Oryctolagus cuniculus: one gene and its partner. The protein of the gene in region 1 interacts with the protein of each later gene in a biochemical or structural test. Links are inferred from orthologs where the notes say so. Each region holds a gene or a part of one and is shown in the gene's direction. Other genes may lie near its edges.

The links.
Region 2: the proteins of XRCC1 (region 1) and APTX form a complex in vitro, tested with the Homo sapiens proteins (2 studies listed by BioGRID). The link is inferred for Oryctolagus cuniculus from reciprocal best matches to the Homo sapiens genes XRCC1 and APTX.

What each region holds. Positions count from the first base shown.
Region 1 is NC_091449.1:12,347,082-12,350,189, forward strand, and holds part of XRCC1 (DNA repair protein XRCC1), read left to right. Parts: intron 1-376; coding exon 377-641; intron 642-914; coding exon 915-1,031; intron 1,032-3,108. UniProt on the Homo sapiens protein: Scaffold protein involved in DNA single-strand break repair by mediating the assembly of DNA break repair protein complexes. Negatively regulates ADP-ribosyltransferase activity of PARP1 during base-excision repair in order to prevent excessive PARP1 activity.
Region 2 is NC_091432.1:196,396,194-196,399,693, reverse strand, and holds part of APTX (aprataxin), read left to right. Parts: intron 1-844; coding exon 845-1,068; intron 1,069-3,500. UniProt on the Homo sapiens protein: DNA-binding protein involved in single-strand DNA break repair, double-strand DNA break repair and base excision repair.

The sequences.
Region 1 (3,108 bases):
GGAGGGGCTGGGGGCCTGGACCCTGGGTCTGAGGGAGGAGGGGCTGGGGCCTGGACCCTGGGTCTGAGGGAGGAGGGGCTGGGGTTGGGCCCTGGGTCTGAGGGAGGAGGGGCTGGGGGCCTGGACCCCGGGTCTGAGGGAGGAGGGGCTGAGGTCGGCACCCCTGGGTCTGAGGGAGGAGAGGCTGGGGCCTGGACCCCGGGTCTGAGGGAGGAGGGGCTGAGGTCTGGACCCCTGGGTCTGAGGGAGGAGGGCTGGGGGCCTGCACTCCTAGGTCTGAGGGAGGAGGGGCTGGGACCAGGGCCCTGGGTCTGAGAAGAGGGGCTGGAGGTTTAGCCCAGTGGTGCTGACTGTATCTCGACTTCGGCTTCCACAGTGCCAGCTCCCAGCCGTACCCCGGCCGCGGCCCCCGTCCCTGCTGCAGCACAGGGGGCAGTGGTGGGGAAGCCGCGGGATGAAGGTGAAGGCGCCGAGCCCAGGGCCCCCCGAGCCGGCCCCCAGGAGCTGGGGAAGATCCTTCAAGGGGTGGTGGTGGTGCTGAGTGGCTTCCAGAACCCCTTCCGCTCGGAGCTGCGGGACAAGGCCCTGGAGCTGGGGGCCAAGTACCGGCCAGACTGGACCCCGGACAGCACCCATCTCATGTAGGCCAGGCCGCCTCCTGCCCGTGTCCCGCCCTTCCCCCCACCCCCGCCCTGCTCTGCTCCTCTGCCTCGCTCGCACGCACGCTCTCACTGTCTGTCTGTAGCTTCCATCTCTGATGTCTGTATCTCTCCCGTGGTTTCCCATCTCTGTCTCTGTGTCGCCCACATTTCTCTCACTGTCTCTTTCTCCCTCCCTCCTTGCCTCTCGCGTCCCCCCCCTCGCCTTTCCCCCTCGGCTCACACCTAACAGACCCCTCCACTCTACCCCTGCAGCTGTGCCTTTGCCAACACCCCCAAGTACAGCCAGGTCCTGGGCCTCGGAGGCCGCATCGTGCGTAAAGAGTGGGTACTAGACTGTCACCGCATGCGGCGGCGGCTGCCCTCCCGGAGGTGAGACCCCCATGTGCACACACATGCTCTCCTCCCCTTCCTGGGAAGTGCCCGGACCCGGGGGGAAGTCAGCTGGGAACACAGGCAGAGGGCAGGCAGAGGCCGGGGAGCTCCACCTGCGGGGTGGTCACCGAGGGCAAAGGGAACCACAGTGCTGGCTGGAGGAGCCGCGTGGGAGGGTGGGGCGCCGGGGCCTGTTGGTGTCACTCAGAGTGCGTGGGAGTTTTTATTTGAGAAGCAGAGAGAGGGAGAGACAGAGAGCTCCCATCCCACTGTTTATTTCTGGGCTGGGCCAGGCCAAAGTCCAGGGCGGCGAACTCCAGCCAGGGCTCCCAGGTGTGTGGCGGGGACCCAAGTGTTGGTGCCGTCACCTGCTGCCTCCCAGGGCGCACACTGCAGGAGCTGGCGTCACAGGAGGCGCAGGTGTACCACCAGTGTCTTTTAATTTTTTTTTTAAATATTTTATTTCTTTATTTGAAAGGTAGCGTTATAGATAATGAGAGAGAGAGAGAGACACAGAGAGAGGTCTTCCATCCACTGGTTCACTTCCCAAATGGCTGCAATGGCCGGAGCTGACCTGATTCGAAGCCAGGAGCTTCTTCCAGGTCTCCCACGTGGGTGCAGGGGCCCAAGGACTTGGGCCATCTTCTGCTGCTTTCCCAGGCCACAGCAGAGAGCTGGATTGGAAGAAAAGAAGCCGGGACTTGAACCATTGTCCACATTGGATGCCGGCACTGCAGGCAGAGGATTAACCTTTTGCGCCCCTACCTAGTGTCTTAACCTCTGCAAAACAGCGCCCTGCACTTTACATTTCAAGAAAAACAAGCCGGCGCCGTGGCTCAACAGGCTAATCCTCCACCTTGCGGCGCCGGCACACCGGGTTCTAGTCCCGGTTGGGGCGCCGGATTCTGTCCCGGTTGCCCCTCTTCCAGGCCAGCTCTCTGCTATGGCCAGGGAGTGCAGTGGAGGATGGCCCAGGTGCTTGGGCCCTGCACCCCATGGGAGACCAGGAAAAGCACCTGGCTCCTGGCTCCTGCCATCGGATCAGCGCGGTGCGCCGGCTGCAGCGGCGGCCATTGGAGGGTGAACCAACGGCAAAGGAAGACCTTTCTCTCTCTCTCTCTCTCACTGTCCACTCTGCCTGTCAAAAATAAAAAAAAAAAAAAAAAAAAAAAAAAAGAAAAACAACTGCTCGAAGGGTGACTCCTGGTGGGTGGCTCCCCTTGTTTCAATCACAAATTGGGCTTTTAAACACTTCGAGGGACAAGTGTTTGATGGCTGCATCCCATGTCGAAGTGCCTGGGTCATGTCCTGGCTGCTGCACTTGCCATCCGGCTTCCTGCTGATGCCCCCTGGGAGCACAGATGATGGTCAGGTAGCTGGGCCCCTGCCATTGACATAGGAGACCCAGATTGAGTTCTGGGTCCCTGGCTTTGCACGTGGACCAGCCCTGGCTGGTGTGGGCATTTGGGGAGCTGACCAGCAATGGAAGATCCCTCCCTCTCTCAAATAAAATGAAAATAAATCTTAAAACTCTTAAAATCTTTGCATACAAAGCACCGGGAAGAAAAAGGTCCAGTCAGCTGCTCCCGGGAGCCTCTTGTCGCAATGAGCAGGACTTCCCTGAGCAGTGGCCACCAGCTTGGGAACCACCCAGGCCTGTGGCAGGCTCTTCCTGTGTGACCCAGGAGGCCGCCCGCCTGTTGTCTGCTGCCGCCTGCTTTGGCCATCTCTCAGTGCCCCGGCTTCCTCACCTCTAAAGTGGAGCTGGAAATGATGCCCGCTGAGGGCCAGGGATGACCCCACGTTTGTCACACGCTGAACACACTGCCACAGGCCGGCGGGTGCCGCGGGTGTGAGCCCGCGCCCTGGGAGCCGGGAGCTCGGCGTGAACACACTGCCACAGGCCGGCGGGTGCCGCGGGTGTGAGCCCGCGCCCTGGGAGCCGGGAGCTCGGCGTGAACACACTGCCACAGGCCGGCGGGTGCCGCGGGTGTGAGCCCGCGCCCTGGGAGCCGGGAGCTCGGCGTGGGTCTTTGAAGTGTCTTTGCTGGCAGGAGTCCTCAGGAGAAGCCGA
Region 2 (3,500 bases), on another chromosome or scaffold:
AGAGAGGGGGAGAGAGAGAAAGAGATCCTTCATCTGCTGGTTCACTCCAAATGGCTATATTGGCCAGGGCTGGTCCAGGCTTAAGCCAGGGGACCAGAACTTTACCCAGGTCTCCCACATGAGTGGCAGTGGCCCAAGCACTTGGGCCATTCTTTGCTGCTTTTACAGGCACATTAGAAGGGAGCTGGATGGGAAGCAGAGCAATTGGGACTTGAACTCACACTTGATTTGGGCTGCTGGTGTTGTAAGTAGTGGCATAACCCACTCTGCCATAATGCTGGTGCTTCCCTTCACAGATCTATCTATCTGCACATATATATGTGTATATATATGTGTGTGTATACACACACATACACCCAGGATATGTGTGTGTGTATATATGTATATATATGTATATGTGTGTGTGTATGTATAAATCAATCAATCAATCCAGATCTCCCATGTGGGTGCAGGGGCCCAAGTACTTGGGCCATCTTCCACTGTTTTGCCCAGGCCATTAGCAGGAGCTGGATTGGAAGTGGAACAACTGAGACTTGAACCAGCGCCCAAATGGGTTGCTGGCATCATAGACAGTGGCTTTACCCACTATGCCACAGTGGCAGCCCCTCGCCCACAGATTCTTGTTCTGGGTTAGAATCCTAAATTTCCTACCTAGTAACTATGTGTGTTGTAAAAGACACTGGATCTCTGTGAGTCTCAGTGCTCTCATCTGTCAAAGTTGGGCTACAAAACATTTTGTACAAGACAGTGGTGGGAATTAGGTGACTTAATGAATATGACAGCACCTGGTACACAGATAATTCTCAGTAGATGTCTGTTTTCTTCTCTTGTGCCTCTCTGCTAGGTCTACAAAGATGAGCAGGTGGTAGTGATTAAGGATAAATATCCGAAGGCCCGTTACCACTGGCTGGTCTTACCATGGGCCTCCATTTCCAGTCTGAAGGCTGTGACCAGGGAACACCTTGAACTCCTCAAGCATATGCACACTGTAGGGGAAAAGGTGATTGCAGATTTTGGGTCCAGCAAACTCCGCTTCCGACTGGGCTACCACGCCATTCCTAGCATGAGGTAAGCTTGTGGGAGGTCCTGGGGCCTTCTTGTTCTGTCCAGGTGTTCAGGTAGATTCAGCCTGGGCTTGCTGAGTGTGCTGACAGCCCTGAGGCCCAGGGGAGTAGGATGGGATGTTTTCAAGACCTCTCAGCTTGACTTACCTGCAAACCTGCTCTGCCTATATTTCAGTTATGTATGATTCTTTGTTCCTCTCAAAATTCAGACCTTTCAGGACTTCAAATATGAGCTAGATGCAGCAGCTTGATTCCTCTCAGGTGAGGAACTGTGGTCAGTGGCTTTTATCAGATTTTTCAAAAGCATCTGCAGTGCTAAAATGACTAAGGACTGTTGCTCTGAAGGAAACACACACTGTAGGCTTCTTGAAAGATGGCTTAGTAGACCTAAGATTTAAAATAAAGTGAGAGGACAGTAGGGAGTCTGTTCCTTTGACTTATACCCAGAAGGATTTGGAAAGGAATTATTTTTCAAAAGAATGCAAGCAAGGCAGATCTTCACAGTTCCTTTGACCTGCAGAGTAAGATAATGAGACTGATTTCAAGTTTGTACCTTAATTTTATTTTTTAAAGATTTATTTATTTATTTATTTAGGGGCTGGCGCTGTATTTATTTGAAAGGCAGAGTTACAGAGAAGCAGAGAGAGAAAGAGCGGTCTTCTGTCTGTGGGTTTACTCCTTAAATGGCTGCAACAGCTGGAGCTGGGCCGATCCAAAGCCAGGAGTCAGGAACCAGGAGCTTCTTCCAGGTCTCCCACATGGGTGCAGGGGCCAAGAACTTGGGCCATCTTCTACTGCTTTCTCAGACCATAGCAGAGAGCTGGATCTGAAGTTGAGCAGCCGGGACTTGAACCAGCGCCCAAATGGAATGCTGGTGCCACAGGCAGAAGCTTAGTCCCCTAGGCCACAACACTGGTCCCTGTACTTTATTTATTTATTTATTTTATAAAGACTTACTTTATTTATTTGAAAGGCAGAGTTACTGAGATAGGTAGAGAGAGGGGTCTTCCATCCGCTGGTTCACTCTGCAAATGGCCACAATGGCCAGAGCTGAGCTGATCCAAATCCAGGAGCCAGGAGTTTCTTCTGGGTCTCTCATGTGGGTGCAGGGGCCCAAGGACTTGGGCCATCCTCTGCTGCTTTCCCAGGCACATTAGTAGGGAGTTGTATCAGAAATGGAGCAGCCGGGGCTCAAACCGGCACCCATATGGGATGCCAGCGCAGCAGGCAGAGGCTTAGGCCACTATGCCACTGCACCAGCTCCTGTAGCTTATTTTTTAAAAGTTGTGGTAAAATATGCATTAAGTGTGTTCTTTACTGGCATTAAGTATATTCACATTATGGTGCAACCATCATTGCCATCCTTCTCCAGGACTTTTTTCATCTTCCCCAAATGAAACACTGTACCCAGTAAATAATAATTCCCCATTAGACCAACATTCCCCTTTCTGTCTGTGAATGGAGTACAATAGTCTTTCCTCATCTGTGAGTCTGTGAGGGATATATTACAAGACCCCAGGGGGTGCCTGAAACTACTGAGCTCCATATATATATATACTTTTCTTTCTTCTTCTTCTTCTTTTTTTTTTTTAATTTTACTTATTTGAGAGAGTTACAGCCAGTGATAGGGACAGACAGAAAAGTCTTCCGTCCGTTGATTCACTCCCTAAATGGCCACAGTGGCTGGAGCTGGGCCATCCGAAGCTGGGCCAATCAGAAGCCAGGAGCCAGCAGCCTCTTCTGAGCCTCCCACACGGGTGCAGGGGCTCAAGCTCACAGGTGGAGGCTTAACCTACTGTGTCACAATGCCAATGTATACACTTTTTAACAATATGTACATATCTATGATAAGGTTTAAAAAATTTTTTTTTTTTTTGACAGGCAGAGGTAGACAGAGAGAGAGGCAGAGAGAAAGGTCTTCCTTTTTCTGTTGGTTCACCCCTCAAATGGCTGCTACGGCCAGTGCGCTGCGCTGATCCGAAGCTGGGAGCCAGATGCTTCCTACTGGTCTCCCATGCGGGTGCAGGGCCCAAGCACTTGAGCCATCCTCCACTGCCTTCCCGGGCCACAGCAGAGAGCTGGACTGGAAGAGGAGCAACTGGGACAGAATCTGGTGCCCCAACCGGGATTAGAACCTGGGGTTCCGGCGCCGCAGGTGGAGGATTAGCCTAGTGAGCCGTGGCGCCAGCAAGAGAGTCATCTTAACAATGCACTGCAATGAAAGTTATGTACATTTGGTTTTCTTGAGGAGTTAAGACAAATATTAGTATTTTGGACTGTGGTTGACTTTGGGTAACAAAAACAAACTGCAGGTGGGGGGCACCATACTCTGAGTATGTTATATAAATGAAATCATGCAGTATTTGATGTTTTGTGACTGACTTATTTTACTTAACATAATGATGTCTTCAGAGTTTATCCATACTGTAGTATGTG